Linked DNA regions of Lytechinus pictus. The protein of the gene in region 2 purifies or fractionates together with the protein of the main gene of each other region. This does not show direct contact. Links are inferred from orthologs where the notes say so. Each region holds a gene or a part of one and is shown on either strand. Other genes may lie near its edges.

Evidence for each region.
Region 1: the proteins of aprataxin and PNK-like factor (region 2) and DNA ligase 3-like purify together in Homo sapiens (affinity purification with mass spectrometry; 3 studies listed by BioGRID and IntAct, counting the BioPlex papers as one, with this or other methods). This does not show direct contact. The link is inferred for Lytechinus pictus from reciprocal best matches to the Homo sapiens genes APLF and LIG3.

The regions. Positions count from the first base shown.
Region 1 is NC_087258.1:1,784,236-1,794,663, forward strand, and holds the start of DNA ligase 3-like, read left to right. Parts: upstream 1-5,944; 5' UTR 5,945-6,114; exon of another isoform or gene 6,115-6,418; intron 6,419-7,499; exon of another isoform or gene 7,500-8,893; 5' UTR 8,894-8,916; coding exon 8,917-9,487; intron 9,488-9,931; coding exon 9,932-10,048; intron 10,049-10,428. UniProt on the Homo sapiens protein: Isoform 3 functions as a heterodimer with DNA-repair protein XRCC1 in the nucleus and can correct defective DNA strand-break repair and sister chromatid exchange following treatment with ionizing radiation and alkylating agents.
Region 2 is NC_087251.1:25,300,219-25,311,088, forward strand, and holds the start of aprataxin and PNK-like factor, read left to right. Parts: upstream 1-5,887; 5' UTR 5,888-6,112; intron 6,113-6,263; 5' UTR 6,264-6,481; coding exon 6,482-6,580; intron 6,581-8,024; coding exon 8,025-8,096; intron 8,097-9,097; coding exon 9,098-9,273; intron 9,274-10,870. UniProt on the Homo sapiens protein: Histone chaperone involved in single-strand and double-strand DNA break repair.

The DNA of each region.
Region 1 (10,428 bases), on a different chromosome or scaffold from region 2:
CCCCACTCCAGGTCTGAATTATCTAAATTTTTAGCTCGCGCTTCGCGCTCGCATTGTTTAGCGAGACAGGTACCTATCATGATTACACAAATTTGACTATAATGTCCCTTTTTAGATGTGAATATAAAAAAAATTCAGCTCGCGCTTCGCGCTCGCATTATTTGATCAGTGAGATACATATCAGTTTAATGACATTGTCCTTAAAATGTCTCTATTAGGTCAGTATAACTGGCAACTGAGCGCGCTCACTAGCGCACTCACTCAGCAGTGATTCAAAATTTTTGCTGGTGCCCCCCCCCCCCCATGCCGTGACCCACGGTACGCCACTGTGGACATATCAATGGCAATTCCTTGCATATCTAAAAACATGATTGCAAAAAAAATGCCAAAATATTTCAGTCACCCCCCCCCCCACCCATCAACACGGATTTACGCCAGTGCTGAAAATATACCCCAAAACATCTCTTTTTGCTCATTCTAATCATATGACAAACGATTCATCAATGATATAATGTTGTGAAACATCTGTACTTGTCCTCTCATAAAGAGAACACCTCACCTTGTGATAGACTCTATAAAAGTGAGAATATAAGTGAAATAAGTACTAAAGTAATGAGGGAGTTGTACGTGTGTGACATCACAGATCTTGGTCGCATTGCCAATGGGAGGATCTACATGGCATAAGTGATCTCAATATCCAAATGCTCATAACTTTCTTATTATTCATGAATCTTCCTCAAACTTTCAACAATATGTTTCTTTGATTTTTCTCTTTGATATGGATTCAGCTGGTTTCAAGGCTTTCATTCTCCTTTAAATTATCCGCTTCTCAGATTGGAATATAAAAATTTTCAGCTCGCGTCATTTCTGTCAGTAGCAAAACCCCATACTTTTCATGATTAAATAGGTGAATAGAATGTCCCTTTTTCAGGACTAAACGTCAAAAGAACTCCCGCTTCGATTTGCAATAATCTTTTCCTGGATATAATCTTGTTCTTTATTATACAAACATCCATTAAACTGTCATTTTTTTTTCGCTTCGCACTCGCATCTATTGTTTTTTTTAGATACCCATCTTAATCATTGGTACCAAAAATGCATAGAATATCAAGCTTTCTGGTCAGAATATAAAGAAATTTCAGCTCGCCCTCGGCACTCGCATTATCTGTGTAGTGAGATATGTATATCCTCCTCATGAGTTACTACAAACAGTCCTAAACAGGCACCTTTTTCCTGTTTTCAGGTCAGTAAAAAATTTCAGCTCGCGCTTCGCGCTCGCATTAATTTGTTGGTGAGATATGTGTTTCTATCTCATGAGTCATATAAATATATATATATATGCATATGTGTGTGTGTGTTTGTGTGAATTTGTTTGTTTTGTGTGATATCGAGCGCCTTTGGAAAGTTGATTCATGATTTTGCCCCTCAAATCTTAAAAAAAGGATCGACGCCCCCGTGTATATATATATATATATATATATATATATACATATAGTAAAAAAGCTTGTATTTCTATTAATATACAAATGTATTGGCCTCATCGCAATAAAAGGGTTAATACACGAGATTTTGAAATCGCACATAACATGCATGATAATTTGTGTTACTTTTTGCTTGTTTCTTTCTTTAATTAAGTTTTTCAATCTCTCTCTATATAATTATGTTTTAGAAAGATTATATTTTTAAATTGATGTATATTTCTGTTATAATGAGATATGTTTAAGTGGAATTCAGGGAATGGTCGTACGCAGCAAGGGAGAAGGGGGGGAGGGCACATTCGCGATCTGCTGTTGTGAAAAACGATTTTTTTTTCCCCCTTAACATTTCATGAAAACTATGAAAAATGTGCAAATGTGAGATGTACGTGCACCAAATTTTCGAGTCTTGCCCCCCCCCCTGGAAATATTATCTGCGTATGGTCATGCAAAATGACATGACTGGAAATCCTATACATTTTGAAAAGAGCATTATTTTGACAGGGTCAGACTTTACCCCTTTCGGGCGCCGGTGAAGTGCGCCGCGCGCTCGGCATGCAGTGCGCCCCCCCCCCCTTTCGCCAAAAGCTGGATCCGCCTATGAATCTAACACTGATTCTAGGGAGGGCACCTACCCACTGGGCATTTTACCCGATATTACCCGGGTTGTAACAGGTAATAACGTAGTTATTACCACGGTAACACCAGTGGGTAGTAACGGGGAAATAGTAGACCAATCTTTCCCCGTTATTACCCGGACCCGATATTACTCAATTTACCCAATATTACCCAGTATGATGTAACCGATATTTCCAGTTATTTTAATGATATCACCACCTCATATTACTCTGTTTACCCAATATTACCCAATTAATGTCGGCTCATTAAAAAAACAATTAGTGTCATTAGGGTCATTGAAGCACATTTTTACAACTCCATACTCTAAGCCATATCATCTTATCCTATCCTAAAATCCTACATCCTAATCCTAATCCTATCCTACACCTATCCACCAAACCCTGTCATTTACTTCTATATATTGAGCGAGTTTACAACACTTGACAAATTATGGTTAACAATTATTCAACCCTAAAACATTTTTCTAAAATTAATGTCATGATTATGACTAATATGATATATAAACTACACATTTTTCTGAAAATTTTCTGGGTGGAATAATTGCATAAACATATTAATTATTACAGCTATATTAGCTAAAATTTTGGCCATTTATTGTAGTAATGAATATTCATGAGTAACTAATATTCCCAGCATTTTCCTGATTTTACCATCTGATATTACTCCATTTACCCAATATTAATGGGTTCCGCATGGGTTGGAGGTCTCGTTTCCATCTGAGTCCTATCTGGGCACCAGTGGCGTACCGTGGGTCACGGCATTGGGGGGGCACCAGCAAAAAATTAAGTCACTTAGTTGTCAGGTACTCTGACCTAATAGAGACATTTTGAGGAAGCACTTGTAGTCATTGTAATCATGAATAACATACGCATCTCAGCAATCAAATAATGCGAGCGCGAAGCGCGAGCTGAAAATTTTTGATATTCAGACCTAAAAAGGGACTTAACAATCGAATTTTTGTGATCATGATACGTACCTGTCTCGCTAAACAATGCGAGCGCGAAGCGCGAGCCGAAAATTTTTGTATATATTGATCACAAACAGGGAGATCTTAAGGACTATATTTTAGGAATCTCTTAATATTATACATATCTCACCATAGTCATCTAATGCGAGTGCCAAGCGCTTGCTGATTTTGTTAGAATTACATTTAAACACATATGAAACACTTGTAGTCATTGTAATAATGAATAACATAGGCATCTCACTAATCAAATATTGCGAGTGCGAAGCGCGAGCTAAAAAATTAGGAATTTCAAACATGAAGAGGGGCAATTTAAGGCTTGTTTGTAGGAATTAGCGAAACCATACGTACTTCAATAACCAAATGATGCGAGCGCGAAGCACGAGCTGAAATTTGTGTATATATTGACCCAAAACAGGATTTTTTTAAAGGAACCCATTAAGAGTATACATATTTCACTACAGTCATGTAATGCGAGTGCCAGGTGCTTGCTGATTTTGTTAGAATCACATCTGAACACATGAAGCACTTTTTGTAGTCAATGTAATCATGATTATCATACGCATCTCACTAATCAAATATTGCGAGCGCGAAGCGCGAGCTGAAAATTTAGATAATTCAGACCTGAAGCGGGGCAGTCTAAGGCTTGTTTGTAGGAATTCACGAAGACCATACGTATTTCACTAACCAACTGATGCGAGCGCGAAGCGCGAGCTGAAAATTTTGGATATTTAGACTCATGCAGAAAAAGGGATATTTCAAGGACTGATTTTAGGAATTCATGGAGAGCAGACATATCTCACCAATCCACTGAAGCGAACGTAATCACGGACAGGAAATGTTTTATATTAAGACCTTAACATGGGGCAATCACTTTAAGTAGTCATGAAAAAGAACCATATGTCACTATATAAAACAATAATATATTTGGTGTATATTGACTTGAAAACGGGAGGTTTTCGTACAACAGGTTTATATATCTCTTTAAACAGACAATGCGAGCACCAGGAACAGTGAAGACATGGACCCTGAGCAAATTATGTTTCATAAAGTTATGATAAAAATGTTTCCTATGTAAAATAACAACATGATTGTAATACAATATACAATTATAATGAATAATAATTTCTTCTTTCCCACTACGTTCCTCTTCCTTTCTCCCTCTTTTTCTCCTTTTCCCCGTTTTTTTTTTTTGTGTGTCAGCCGATTGGGGGGGGGGGGGGGCACGTGCCCCCCCATGCCCCCCCGTAGTTACGCCACTGTTGGGCACCATGTGGGTTCAAGTATATGTTTTCATCTGGGTTCCATGTGGGCCCATATGGGACCCAGATATCCCAGATAAGAACCGTATGTGATCCAGATACTTTGCTGTCTGGGAATGGAAGCGTTTCAACATTACCCATTACCCCTTATCAACCTGTTTGTAACTGGGTAAAATGTTGGTTTCATCAGGGTGATAACAGTAATTTTTTGGACTTTGAAAATTTCGCTGGGATTGCTGTAAGATTGCTCTTATTACTAAAGTTTGCAATGTTATAACCAATCAAAGTTTGTTGTTGTTGTTGTTATTTTAAATAGGCAAACTAGTCAGTTTTGACTATTGTTGCCTTGTAAATTTGCTTTCCCTTTTTTTTTCAAAAAGAATAATTTCTTTGTTCAATCTATATCAGTTAAAAAAAGTAAAGGAAAGATAGGAAAGAAAAGTTCCTAGGAAATCGTGCAAGACCACCTCATTCAACATTACCCTTATTACCCCTCATCACCCTGTTGTAACTAGGTAAATGTAGGTTTCATCAGGGTGATAATTACAGTAACAGGTATCAACAGGAATTATAATTTCGGTAATAACATGGTAATAATTAACGGTAATATTTGGTGTTACTCAAATTTCCGGGTGATATTACCGGTAAAATTGGTAATCGGTAACAAATTGCCCAGTGGGTAGTACTGAACTTCTTTTTTTCCAAATTGGAAAGATATATAACCACTATGGAACTAAATTTTTACGGGCGGAAGAATTAGGGCCATTTGACTCTCGATCTCAAGTGATGAATTTGATCCCGTAGATCTTCATAAATGCTGATTTATTTTTAAAATGAGCCGGTCGAGGTACCCTTTTCTGGTCAGATATGGAATGTCAGACATTTATCCTATCCACTGATAGTAAACATTCAACCCTCGAATTTCCTCCTTATTTTTAAGGAATTCTTTTTAGGTACCACTTTAACACACGAGTCTATGGGGATTGAATTAGGCCTGTGATACCTTATGCCTAGCCTATCCACCCGGCCTTGACTCGGCTCATGTGTTGCTTAAGCCCGCGGTGCTAAAGAAACTTGCATGCAATCAGTTGCAAATTTTTGCTGCTAAATTAATCTACAATTGATAATGATATTATTTTAACTACTTGTTAAAAGAAGGAGATCAGCAATCAAGTGTGGATTCGCAATAATTGCCAGATTTATTAATTGTGACTGATTTTCTAACCAAAATTTGACTAGTAATTGATTGCAATTGATTAATACAACTTCCATGCAACGCATGGTAAGGTCTCGACGTATATTGGCAATTCATACAACATAGTCTGCAGACACAAACCCTTTGATTTCACAATTCGCATAGTGCATATATGCAATATGCATAGTCTGAATTAGTGAGACTATATTCACTGAATACTATGGATGGCTCTACAAAGAGACAGAAAAAGAGTTTGAAGTTTATAGGCTTCACCTCAGCTTCACTCTAGACATGATTATTCAAATAGGAGTCTGTGTTTGCAGACTAAATGCAACACACGCAGCTGGCTGGTACACGCAAAGGGTACACGTCCAAACACCAACGCGAAAACGCATTTAGCGATTACGTTATTGTTTTGGGCATGATTGGACAAGTAGTGGTGTATCATCGCACCATGCATCATTGACTGAACTCTCGGAGTGAACTATAAATCTAACTGCTTTCCTGGAGTAAAGATCAGTTTTACATGGACTTCAGCCGTGCCGATTTCTGGAGTGTTCAGTGTTTTCCATCATTAATGTAAGGATTTTCCTCCTCAGAAAATGCAAGAGGTGAAGAGTGTGCTTTCTGATCTGGTACTCGGTGCTTGCCGCCTATGCAATAAAAAGTGGATGCCGGTTTAATTACCGGCATGTGCGATTTATTTTGCACGCAAGTGAATGGCCAATCTCACGTTTCCTTGAGCTTGAGTTGAGAGCTGAATGTTTAATGTTTTCAAAAACGGCATGAATGATTTTTTTTACTATATATTTTCAATATGTTTAAGTGTAATGCAAAGATGTGACTCTGACCGTGATATGGTGTTTGTATTTGTAATTGTATTGTAATTAAGAGTAGGCCTAGGGTGTCTGGAGAAAAATATTATTTTTCTTATTTCAAGAAAATATCACATTTTCTTTGTGAATTTGAAGAGAAATGACCTTCAGACTGACAGAAATGTAACATTTTTGAAAAAAATCTGATTATTGGCTGCAAAAAAGAAGAATGAAATTAGGTCAATTTTCAGCATTTCTCTGCCATACTGTGTAGTTAAGAAATGGACACACACAAATCCAAATTTTTAGCTTCCGAGAGCTGTTATAAATTTATTATTAATGCCAAAAACTTGTCCATAAAGAGTCCAATAGGATTTTTATGCTCTTTCTGATGGTATGATTTTTATAAAGATTTGGAAACCAGATCACAATGAAAAATTGCGACAAAGTGAAAAAATTGTGCAAAACAGAAATTTCATTTTCCCATAGAAAACGCATGGGGAAATGGCAATCTCAACACACACAAAAATAAGGGTTTGCAATTTATCTCTAAATCCTTATTCAAAATGATCATATAAACTTGTCCTTACTGTCAAAAGAAGCCCCTGAATTTTCTCTTTCCATACATGCCAAACACAAGTTAATAATCAATTCAGATCACATTTTTCTAGTAGCCTGAACTTCCCGAAAAAAATGTTCCATATTTTCCCCTAAATCAGCCTGTCTTATGCTGACACTTTTCAGTGTGGCTTCAGACACCCTATTAAGAGTTAAGACAGGGAGGCGGTGTAGCTCAGTCGGTTAGAGCGCCTGTTCCGGATAAGATCGTAGATCTCAACGTGCGTGGGTTCGAGTCCCGCAGCATGCCGGAAGACGTCTAACAAAAAAACTGATGCTAGCGTTGTGTGTTAACGTGCCTCGCCGCTGTGTTCAGTGCGGGTGTGAATGCAGTTGGAAAACACTCCGTCCATCGGAAAGGACGCAAATGTTGGTCCCGTGTATAGGAGAGTCACAACCTATGCACGTTAAAACCAATATACACTATTCGTCAAAGAGTAGGGTGTTCACCCGGTGTATTGCACCTGCCGGTCCCCGGTACTACAATACTGCAAGAATCTCCAGGATTGAAGGAGGCAGTGTAGCTTGAAGAAGAAGAAGAAGAAGACGACAAAAAAAGTGCCGGGCCGGCTGCAAAGAAAAGTCACACTCACAGCTGACATCGACAGAGTGCAGTGTAACTTTTGACTAACTTAGTATTAGATAAGTAATGTTGTTAAAATTGAGTTTGATCGATAGCATGCCAATTTCACTTTGAACACTGAATGAATGACTGATTAGTGTCTTTTTTAGTGATTACACGATCGCCATGAAAATTTGCAAGGGTGTAGATCTAATGTCGGATGTTGACTACAAAAAAGTACAAGAGTCAAGACAATGATAAATTTAAAAATAATTTTGTAAAAAATTGTATATTTTTTAATTAATTTTTTTTTAATTCTATGCAAATAAAAGCATATGAAAATCACATTTGCCTTTTTTAATTTTAGCTCACTTTAAATTTCTCATTTTGCTAGTAATACTAATTTTTGGTGAAAAAGATTAATTTTGACATTTAATATTTAACATAAGATAAAAAAAAATGACAACATAATTTCCTTTTAATTTCTTTTGTTCAAGTTCAATTTATTTATTTTCTCACCAATATAAAAAACAATATGCAAATATGTATAAAGAATGAAAATTACATGTATGAGAGAAAAACGGAAACTACTGAAAAGTTCATAAGAACTTGTGAGCTGTAGCTCCCAGTTAATTTCTTTTGTATTTCTTAACTTAGTTTTTAAAAGCTTACCAACAAAATAATTACCTAGCACATTTTCTACCTTTGAGTTCTCAACACTAAGTGTCTACTGAGCTGAGGAGGCTACTAGGGCATGAAACAGGCTCACAACGAACAACAACAACAAAAGATTGAAAGTGGGCGCAGTGACCATTAGTAGATAGAGACCAGTCCTAGGGCCTACATATAAAGTTCTTTATCTTTATTTTATTTCGGCATCTGGAATAATGCTGCCTGAGATACATCATCTACAGATATAGGCTATGACATCTACATGTACATATGTTTTTAACTTATGAATAAATATACATTGCAGGCTGTGAGATCTATATTTGTGAACTTACGCCTACTTTAGCGAAGACCATTATTTTTGCCTAATCTGCTTATAGACTAACCTATCCCCCCCACCAAAATAAAAAAATTACAAAATTACAAAAATTCACCATCTAACTTAGTAACATGTGTTTTTATTTCATGGCATTCACACGATAACAGTATTAGGACATAGTCCTACATATTCATAAATACATGTAGTAAACTGGAGGAACCAACACTTTCAAGAGAGTTTACCAAATAAAATGGGCTTTTATAGGAGAATAGGCATGTGTGTAATGGTGATGATTTATCATTTTGATAGGGAGTTGGAGGAATAAGAAGAAGGTTTGGTAACTATCTTATGTTTTTTATTTCTCTTTGATCACAGTGATATTCAGGTGATGTGGATCTATGAGATCTAAGGTTTACACCGCATTCCATCGTGGTTGGACTGCATTAAAAGGAGCTTCTGCAAGGCATGGTCAGCAACATCTAGTTTATCACACCTCGGTGTCATTCACTGTTGATCTTCAACTAACATATGACACTTGCTCCTGTAGACAACCTGAATTTCCAAAGTCCTATCGAAGCAGTGCACTTTCATTCAAATTCATAAGAGAAGCAGAACGAATCCTAGGTCTGATTGGTTCCTCTTCAAGGGTTAGTACTCTTTTGTCAAAGACAGCTTCAGGAATGGATGATGAGAAAGCCTTCATGGTTGACTATGCCCGCCTTGGGACATCAAAATGCAAGCGATGCAAGCAGGGGATCGAGAAGAAGTCACCCAGGATTGCCAAACTCACAGCAAATCCTTTCAGTGACGATGGGGGCATGATGAAGAACTATTTCCACATCAACTGTGTGTTTGAGACGTTTGTTCGGGCGAGGGCGACAACGAAGAAGATTGAGGATCCAAGCGACTTGGATGGTTTTGAGAAGATGGAGGACGAGGAGAAGAAATTAATCCGAAAGAACATAGAAGGTGAGAATGTCACGTTTACTTTGACATGTTTCTGAAATCTGAAAAATATAAGTTGTTCATACATGTAGTTAGTTACAGACATTGAATTTTTGTCAGCTACTTAAATGCGTTTTAGTTTATTCCCCCTTTTTTGCCTATTGCTTATATTATCTTCTGGCCGTTGAAACATCATCCCGCCATTTCCAGCACCTTTCATTATTGATCTTAATGAGAATGTTCAATGTATTTGTGCAGTTGAAACCTGAGAATATTTGTGAATTTGGAATCTGGCCATATTTCCTCATGTAGGCAGTCTTCCCCTCCCTTTGTCTTTGTTCTTCCTTTTCTCACTCATTGTCATTTTACTGTTTTCTTGTTTTCTTCTTCCTTTACCCTAGTTTCATGATTTTAATAAACAATCATTTAAATGTACTTTTTTTGTTTTCTGGATCTTTTCATACACAGAGCTATTGTCCAGAGTCAAAACGCCCAAGAAAACGCCAACCAAGAAGAAAGGCACAGTTCAAGGTGTCCTTACAACAGGCGGTCAAGTTTTATCCCCATCCAAACATCCAAAATCAAGTAAGTCTGTAAGGAAATGTGAAATGATTCTTACTAGATTCTGAAGAAGCAGGTCTTGTGAAAGCAATTTGTATAAGGGAGGAATGTTGGCTAGATATAAAAATATTTCAGTCACATAATGTAAAAAAATGGCTTTTAAGAGGGAAATGAAGAATATGGGCTGAAAGAAAAATCAGAAGATCTAGGTACCGGCATATTTAATGTTACCAAACAGGAAGTAATCCTTGAATGTTATCACAACATTCAAGGAAGTGTTTTTGAATTGGATTGAATTGCAAAATATGAATAATAGTCTTTGCATTGAAGCTAATTTGAACAAGCCCCTCCTGCAAGAATTTATCCCATCGATAAATGTGCTATCAGTGGTTGGTAAACTATTA
Region 2 (10,870 bases):
GCCTTTTCATTGGAATCAAGAATGTACAATGCAACCCTAAGGATGTAAATTGTACAATGTGTATCAAACAAGTCCCTACTTTAAGATAATCCAATAAAGTGATATATTTGTAATATCCTGAAGCTTTTCCATTTTTATACATTTTTACAGGCCTGACTGTCAGTGAATATTTCCACTTGAGTGCCCACCACTTACTTTAAAAAGTTAAAAGAACGATTTGGGCAAAACTTGTAAAAGTTATGTGGATAAAATTTGAAGAGCACATGAAATTTAGCTAAGAAGATTGATTGGAAGATATTCTCTACCTTATAACTTGTTTCCTTGCACAAAAGACTCCCTGGAGCGCCAATGCACTCCCCTCCACACACCTATCTGCTTTACATGTAGCGTTGATTCATATAAAATGGCTAAGGCTTGATTTCTCTTTTGTTATTCATTGTCATGGTTGGGAAAAGTGAGGTGATTCAAGTATGAAATGAATTATGAAATGTAAAGCCCCTTTAACTGACAAAACTTAATGAAAAAAATCCTGGTGATGTCTGGTGTTAACATTAATTTGTTTCATGTTATGTCATCAGATCTAGCTGGCACAATAAAAAAAAAGGCAAGTTACCGTTAAACGGTTGTGCTTACCATGGGTTAAAATGTTAATTTGGGTAGCAGAGTTGTTTCAAAATTTTTAATCTGTTTTATTTCCACTGACTAAAAAAGCCAAAGAAAAGTATTAGAAAAGAATGAGTACTATACTTTATGTTTAGTATACCTTTTGATGAAGCAATTGAACATTTATGTGTGTTGAGGTACATACATGTGTATTACAGTGATCATATGCTAATTATCAGATGCAGGTAGGTGTTTCATAAAGCTGTTTGTAAGATACGAGTGACTTTACGAACAACTCACTTAATTACCCTTTCGTAGGCGCTGAATTAACTTCAATGAAAATTTTGTGTATATCACTTATCACAAAAAAAATAATCACCAGTCGTTCATAAAATTGCTCGTAACGTACAAACAGCTTTATGAAACACCCACCTGGAATGTTTCCATAAATCTATGTGAACGTGTAGTCATGTACTACAATCCCTTTATTTCTTGGCAATATTGTTAAAGAGTGAAATTAATCAATTTGATATATATAAACCCATTTTGTTTCGAACAATCAAATTGTCATGGTAATGATGTGGTAATGGTTTAAGATTCATTTGAAGCTACAGAGTGTATTGTATAATCTTGCACTTGACAAGAAAATGATCATTAAAGGACAAGTCCACCCCAACAAACAATTGATTTGAATAAAAAGAGAAAAATTCAACAAGCATAACACTGAAAATTTCATCAAAATCGGATGTAAAATAAGAAAGTTATGACATTTTAAATTTTCGCTTCATTTCACAAAACAGTTATATGCACATCTCGGTCGGTATGCAAATGAGGGAGCTGATGACATCACTCACTCACTATTTCTTTTGTATTCTATTATATGAAATATGAAATATTTTGATTTTCTCGTCATTGTCATGTGAAATGAAGTTTCATTCCTCACTGAACACGTGGAATTCCATTATTTTAACATTTTGTGCTTCAGGCAAGGAGGTCCTAATCGTCAAATTCGTAAAAATTGAAATATTGTATCATTCAAACAATAAAAAACAAAAGAAATAGTGAGTGAGTGACATCATAGACTCTCTCATTTAGATGTAACTGGCTCGTTCATATAACTATTTTGTTAAAAATAAGCGAAACTTTGAAATGTCATAACTTTCTTATTTTACATCCGATTTTGATGAAATTTTTAGCATTGTGCTTGTCTGATTTTGCTCTATTGATTCAAATCAACATTTTTCTGAGGTGGACTTGACCTTTAAACACAGATAAACAACCCAAAACATAAACAGCCATACCATGAGGTAGATAAGTCTCTGCTTTATACAATAATTTTACATTATTACAGAGCTAAATATAGTTTAAAGCATAGAGAGGGGTGGATAGAGAGAGAAAGAGGGAGGGAGAAAGCAATTGTAGACTTGTTACAAAAGTAAAAATTCAACTTACATGCATGTGTCAGAGAAAAATAAGTATATATAAATATACAGGTGCAATGACTGACTATTGTATTGATGTCAACTAGGAAATGTTCTCTGAATCAGTTTGTTTACTCCAGTTATAGGATTTACTTACTGATGATGATATTTCTTAAGGGTCTAAGGTGATGATGATGCTCAATGATGCTAATGGTAAAGTTTAGATTTAAAGTCAAGAATCTGCAGTCATTATGAGGACAACTGCATTTACTTTTGTGTGTTGTTTGTATTTTCAATGTTTAGTATACTATTCTAATGAGCACTCAAGGGAGGTATGAGTTGAAATTTTGAATAGATTCAGCGGAATTGATTTATTATGCAAATTATTTCCATGATCCCAGAGATCTGATGTGTTGCATATAATTATACTGGTTAAAAGTTGAACACCTAATCTATCAAAAGTATTTAAGTGCTCTACAATATGTTGAATAATAATGATATAATTGTTTATGATTATATAGCACTTAACATTTACATGTTATCAGAAGTCATACTGCTAGGCTTGGCAGAACAGCTGTGGTCAACCAAAATGTTTTTAGAATTCTGATAACCAAAATTGATGTAAAAAGTCATTGCAGACGGATAAAGATTAGCAAATGGTTAGGATGTAGACCTTGTAAATGCATGTCTGATATTCCTACCTGTCCTATATTGTGTGTCACAGTATTGTATTTAATCATTTATTTTTTTCTATTTCTATTTTCGTTCATTTGATTTTATTGTAAATCTGAATTTTGTAAGCTACCTAAATAAAATGTAGGTGATTTCCTCACTTTCACTTACATCCTTCAAATCAATGATGATGATGATAATAATCATTTGAATAAATTATTAAATTAATATCAATTTACTTCTTGTGGTTATTTTTTTTGTTCAAAGCATACAACTGAAATCACAAAAAGCCAAATTATAAGCTTTGGATTTACTCTGCGCCTATTCCAAGCCAACTCCGAACATGTTTTCTTAGTTTAATACAATTTGAGCGAAGTAACCATTTTCTTGAGTTTTGAATTGAATCCTCTGATTAGATCATCAAAATATATGTTAATTCCTTATCTGAAAATGAATAGTGATCCCTATAGTTTCCCTCTTCTTGTATTTATTGAAAGCTACAGCAGATGTATTACCCTTCTTTTCAGATGTCATTATTACCAATAAATTCTGTTTATATGAGTGCTATGATGAATTTTTGTCATTTTCTCAAAGCAGGAAGTGGTTGCAATGAATATCGGCCTTTATTCAAATTATGAATGGTGAAATTGAAATTATGAATAGGTGGTATTTAAAAATGATCTTGCCCAAATCATGGATTGTTAGCAGAAAACGTCCGTATACTTTGCCGCCTTTGAATCTGAATTTATAGTGTGTACCCTCACAAAATATTTTGTTCAAACTTTGCCCCCACCCTGCCCCCCCAAAAAAAAAAATATATATAATCTCAAGATGTTAGTTGCGGAATGTCCTCTTCAGGCGTTTACTTTCGGAATTCAATCTCCTATAGAATGGAGAGTCATATGGAAAAGCCGGTCATCAACTTCTTTGTCAATTTTGTTCCTGTAGATGATAGGCCCCATGATAATGCCTACACGTACACTGTAAAACATATTTGGTAAAATTTTAACCAGCACGAGGGTAATTACATGTATGTGTCCAATACATTTGGGGCAGTATTTTACCCAATGCGGGAAGCATATTGTCCAGTAAGGTTTAAAAAATAAGCAGCAATTACTTTAGAATGGGCAAAATTTCATCACACTGGATAAATGAAAATGCCCAAAAGAAATGCACAATGTTGGTTAGACGCATAATTGCCCTCATGGAGCATTTCCGTTTACCCAATATTTTTTTATAGTGTACAGTCATGGGGAGAAGATAGGCCGCCGACCACACCTTTTAGTGAAATAAAAGGAAGAAAATAAAGCTATAAGAGTATAGACATGAGAGAGCTATGTCATCATTATAATACTCCCTATAGTTGCGAAAAATAGGCTTCATAACAAGATCGTCTGCCCCCCCCCCCCCCCCGGGGGGGAGGGGGGCAGTCAAATGTATTGCTGTACACATGCGTGACCAAATTATTTCCAAACATCCCCTAAACGTATTTTTCTCTGTGTGCTTAATAACCCCTAAACAAATTTTTCGCAGGCTTTATTTACACATTTTGGCCCCTAAACAAGTTGTCGCCAGAATATGACCCCTCAACAAGTTTTGTATACAATCGAGAAGAATCCGAACACTTTTCAGAAACGAGGAGGAAAAAGCCCAGGGGGAAAAAACATACCCTGCATGAATCACGTGATTGACAATTATTTACCAGTCTAAAACCACCCTTTTTCTTGAAAATCTTTGTTTTTATTACCCTTAAAGGGATGGTCCGGGCTGTAAGTATGTATAGCTTAATAAATAGAGTATAATTCACTGAGCAAAATGCCGAAAATTTCATCAAAATCGGATAACAAATAACAAAGTTATTGAATTTTAAAGTTTAGCAATATTTTGTGAAAACAGTCGTCATGAATATTCAATAGGTGGGCTGATGATGTCACATCTCCTCTTGTTCTTTTGTATTTTATTATATGAAATTAGGTTTATTCAAATTTTTCCTCCAAGAACTAGAAAAAATGGATTGACAACTGATTTAGTGCATCATATATTTATTGCTGCAACTTATTTCATTATAAGGGAGACATATTATTCACACAAGTATGAAATAATGAAAAAAAAAAGATTTTATGTAATAACATAAGAAAACAGAAAGTGGAGATGTGACATCATCAGCCCACCTAATGAATATTCATGACGACTGTTTTCACAAAATATTGCTAAACTTTAAACTTCAATAACATGATTATTTGTTATCCGATTTTGATGAAAATTTCGGCATTTTGCTCAGTGAATTCTACTTTATGTATTATATAAATATTTTCAGCCCGGACCATCTCTTTAACGAGAGCACGCGCGGCCCGCGTCCAAAAGTGATTGAAATAACAAAATAACATGACTTAATAAATACGTCATCCCTATATAACCCAAAGGTGTATATAAAATATTTTCTTGGCCTAAGACAAATGTTTTCAATATCTCTAAAAATAGACAAACTAAATTATTCTGCATGATAGAAAGGAAATCCTCTATATATATGTTTGTTATTAAAATGACTTCATTACAAGTATATACCTTTATATTTTTTTATTGTTATACAGATCATTGTCTCAAGCCTCTGATTCGATATCCACGCTTTCATAGCTCTAAATAAAATGGCGATAAAGACATTTTTAACTGTCGCCATATCATATTTGCAAAGGAGAAAAAAGAATTTTCCGGGGAATATTCCTCTGATATGTTGAGTACAATAATAAAAATACAATTTCAGTTTCATTTGTTGATTCCCAATAATAATAACTAGTTTGACCCACATGATTCTCTGAACTTTGATAGTCAAGATCAAGACACATCGTAGTTCGCTTGATTAACTGTGCATTTTCCTCTCCATAAAAAAAAAATCATAGAACAATTTATTAAGTTCCTGACATATCAAATGCGGAATTGAATCATGTGGTCATGTGGACGCTTATAAATATCTGGCTTGTTTGAAAGTTTTTAACAATAATGTATTTTATCCATTAAGGTTAAGTCTCTTTATATCTCTAGAATTCATACTCTGTTTTACCTGTATGTCTAAGCTAAAAACTACCCCTAATATTTTTATAAATGGTAAGTTTTTCGTTATAATACCCCCCCCCCCCCCCTTCTCTGGGCCTCTTCCACCGCCCCGAATCCTCGATCCCGACTCTCTCATGTTTACAGTGATACGCTAGCGCTCGCCGTACAAGTGCGTCTTTGATGGCACGGAGGTTGGCAGCAGAAAATCTTAGAAACATACACGCATTGACCCAAATAGCTCCGCGTGTGCTGCTCGCAGACGTACTCATTGCGCTATTTTTTTACTTTAATTTAAAAAGCGTGTATGCTAAATGCGTGTATACTAAACAATGGCATCTTGGAGAAACTCTTAAACGAAAACTTCCGTGAGTATAAATACGGTTCTTGATATCATGTGCATAGAGAAATTAATACTTGTATTACTATGATTGCTTTCCTACGGATTCCTTTGATTAAAAATCCCAATAATTCACCTAAATCATTTGTAATACATTGTTTTCTCCCTTGCCTTCTCAGCTAGCAGCTCAGTGACGCCTTGGCTTGACTTTCGTTGGGACATCGCGAACAACCAGCGCTCTGCCCAGGGACGCGACGCCGATGTAGCACTGTAGCAGGCCGGCTCAGCTCACCTGTCCGTATCCTGCTACTGCTAGATAATCCAATCGAAAACGAAAAACATTTGTTAGGGGTGACATCTTCCCGCTTCTGATTGTAAAATCTCAGCATATTCGAAAATGTCAGGTGTTGAACTTAAGCCTATCAAAGAAGCAGGTGGAGCAAACATCCTTCTTCCATTAGGGAAAACAAACTTGGGAAGGGGTTCTTTCTTTGAGGTGAGTTTGACTGTCTACTTCTGTTACTTTTAATGTTACCTAGTCTTAGACTAAAAATTATAATGTTTAAAGCACTGGTGGATCCAGGGGAGCACATCCGGCCCGTGCCCCCCCCCCTTTGAGAAGCACAATTAAAACTTGTAAAAAATGCTGTTAAAACATACCGGTAAGTGTGCCCTTCAAAAGTGAAGACCTTTTGTTTTCTTTTTCTTTTTTTGCTTGTCAATTTTTTTCTTGGATGAAATCTACTATTTTTGGTTGAAACCTTTTTTTTTTTTGGTTATCAAATTTTTCCTTGGGAAAATGTGCCCCCCCCCCTTTCGAAAAATTCTGGATCCGCCCCTGGTTTAAAGTTAGATTTAAAATTAAATTAACAGTTCAGAGCCAGCGGCAGTGCAATTTTAATCTGAATCTGAAATTAAAATATTTTTTGCAGTTACATCTTATGGAGACTACTTCCCAGTTACCCCCATTCATATTTAGGATTAATCAAAAGAAGATGTCTGTCTCATCTTATTACCTTTATCAGCTCCAATTCAACTGACCTTTGCTGTAATTTGTATTGAAACTTGTTAATGAAAATAATTGTGAACGTGCAAAAAGGGATAAGATGGAGGAAAATGGAAATTGAAATAACTCCCCCCCCCCTGCTATGGACATGCCTGCTGTCTATGTGGTATTCTTTGATCCTTTTCCTTTTTCAAACATTTAATATTCTCCTTTCATTTCTGCTTTTGAAGTTTTATAAAAACAACTTGAGCTTGGTGTCAATAGATTAGACTGAATACTTCAGTGTCTGTTTCGCGGATTGTTCTGCTCCTTAGGCTGCAGTCATTCTTACACTCTTAACATCGAACCTATGCCCCCAAAAATCATGATTTCATTTTTTAACCATTAATATAACATGTTTCATCATAATATAGGTTTATGAAGGATTTAAATTTTGCAAATAATCTTAATCTATTCATCAACACCATCATGTTGCAATTTCATAGAGTTTAATATAAGAATCATTAAAATAATCAACACTCCCATTGTGGGGTGAATAATACTTGGGCATTGGTCCCTTACACTGAGCGAGAGCCGAGATGGCTGGCTATCATTGTAAGTGGAGAAAACAAAGCAGTAAAAAATGTTTTACAAATCCAAATAGACAGATTTCAGAGTCCAACCTAGGGGTAGATATCCCTTTTTAATGTACTCCAATATATTTTAGAGAAATTGAGAAGCAATCAAAGTCTAAAATCTATTTCATCTAGTTCAATATTCATTTTAAAATGGAACCCAATGCTACATTCTGTTTGAGCTCTTGAATAACTTATTGTTATGCCAAACTTTTTTTCTGATTAGAATAACCTGGTAGTGCATATTGCCCTTATAATTTTTAATCTAATAATGCACAAAGGTTTCACTGTTCTCTGGTATTGACCTTTTACATTTGCAGATCGCTGATAAACGAGTCTCTAGAAATCATGCTGTTCTTGAAGTGGAAGATGGGAAGATCAGAGTCATGCCAGTAAGTTGGGGTGTATGATTTTGGGATTGTTAAAGCTTTCAGTTTTAGAGTTAATAATCATCCTGATTGATTAAAAAAAATGTATTTTGAAGAGAAAATCTGAGTTGCAGTTTGTGGCACTTTGAAAACTTGATGAACATATTTTTTGTCACATGTGAAGTTTCATATTAGAGTTTCATTCTTTAAATGGGCAATTCCGTAAACTGATTAACCTTTTTGTACATCCGACCCCCATTTTTCTCCTGTCTTACTTCTCTTCATAACTAACCAAGTCATGATCATTTGAGAGCATTACAGACTGTCAAAAGAACCAGAAATCAGAAACAGAAAATTTCCTGTTGGTCTCACATATATGGTGTTGGACGTACATATTTTATGGAATTGCCCAAATGCTTTCAGATTGGAATAATGAGAATTTAGAAATGGCTGTAAGTTTTGTACATTTAGAAAGGTACATCAGGTTCAGTTCTGGATGCAGGATGCCCTGACTCTTTATGCTGGTATGAGTATGAAGTTGCAGAAGTGGGGAACAATCTGGGTCATATTCAGGGTTAATTTGTGACTTGTATGCATACCCATGTTCTTGTTTTGTATACAGTGAAATCCCTTTTAAATGGTAAAGTGAATTGATTTATTATTAATTGAATAATGAGACATTCTCACAATCGATATATATTTGTATAAATAAAAATTTGCCCAATTGCTTTGAACATTATTTTTCTCCCTGAAAACCACATGATCAGAACTGAATTTCTGAATTTTATTGGAAGTTTAAAAGAATGTCCAACTTTTGAGCTTGTTCTTAGGAGATATTTGGCCAAGTTTATATCTTTCTGTATATCTGATTTCAAGAAAACTTACCGGTAGTCTTAGACCTTACAGCAGTAAATGAATTGTCGAGTCTACAATTATAGGATTACCTGAGCATGTTTGTTAGGGTATCAACAAGATGCTCATTATTAACAACAATCTAAATGTTGTCATGTGTGTTATTTCTATAGATACATACGAACCCTACATTCTTTGATGGCGCAGGAGGAACTAAATTGGCACCTTTAACTAAAGACGTATGGCGAGACCTCAAACATGGAGACCGTATTGCTCTGACACCCGATGAACACATCTTTGAAGTTGTTATTGATTACAGACCTATTGTGCAAGAAACCCAGAGTCCAAGGTAAGAAAACAATTATACAGCACTGTAATGCAACTAAGATTGTTCACAAATTTATAGAATTATGCAATTGGATAACATTCAAATGTCAAATGATTAGGTTTTCTAAATAATATGCCTCCTAGTAGTATTTTAACCATTCTTCGACTAAAAGGGAATCTAATCCATATTGAAAGATTTATTAAATGAGAAAGAAAAGTATGAAAAGCAAAATGGTGAAAGTTTGAAGAAAATTCAGGTGAAAACAATAAAAATGTTTGTTGTTATGAGGTTATCACTGTACAGCAATATCTTATATCGTTTTGTACTACTTCAAGGGAAAAGGTGTTAAAGAAGACAATGGGAGTTTTGTCCTTAAGGCCCCCATTTCCACAGAGGGGATACCTTTGAAGGACCTTTGAAATACCAAAATTTGGCTACATGTAGGTCTTACAGCAGTCTCCAAGACCATTGAAATTTGTCATCTCTGTGGAATGGCTCAGAAAGACCCCCCAAAGAACTCTTAAAGACTGATGGATATTTCTTTCAATGGTCTTTCAGAGATCTTGTATGCAACAAGTGATCTTTCAGAATTCTTTCCATGGACTTTTCCTTGTCTTTCAATGATCTTTCACAGATCTTTCAATGATCTCTCATGAGTCTTACAGTGATCTCCGTAAAAATCTTGAGGGAATGTCGAAAGATCATGGAAAGACTACAGAACTTTGAAAGTTCTTCGAAAGACCGCTGAAAGACTATTTTGAACCGTTTCAAAAAGTTTTGGGACTCACGAGGACCACGAAGACCATTGACAGATCCATCAGAAATCGTCAAAGAACTCAGAGATCTTTGAAAGTTCATTGAAGGACCCTTGAAAGATCAAGCAAGTTTCATGATCTTACAGCAGTCTTTCAGAGGTTTTGCTGTATGTGGAATGGGGGTTTAAGAATCTTCTTATTCTGCTGACAAAGTTTCCAGTTTTTGTCTCGCGTGCGAAGCAGAGTGAGACTATAGGCGCCACTTTTCCGACGGCGGCAGCGTCAACACCAAATCTTAACCGAAGTTTAAGTTTTTGAAATGACAGCATAACTTAGAAAGTATATGGACCTAGTTCATGATACTTGGCCATAAGGTTAATAAAGTATTACTAAACATCCTGCTTGAGTTTCAGGTCACATGACCAAGGTCAAAGGTCATTTAGGGTCAATGAACTTAAACCATGTTGGGGGAATAAACATAAAAATCTTAAAATCTTAACCTGAGGTTAAGTTTTTGAAATGTCATCATAACTTAAAAAGTATATGGACCAAATTCATGAAACTGGGAAATAAGGTTAATCAAGTATTACTGAACATCCTGCCTGTGTTTCAAGTCACATGACCAAGGTCATTTAGGGTCAATGAACTTTGGCCAAGTTGGGGGTATCTGTTAAATTACCATCATAACTTAAAAAGTTTATGGATCTGATTCATGAAACTTGGACAGGAGATTAATCAAGTATCACTGAACATCTTGTGCGAGTTTCAGGTCTCATGACTAAGGTCAAAGGTCATTTAAGGTCAATAAACTTTGGACATGTTGGGGATATTTGTTGAATTACCATCATAACTCTGTAAGTGTA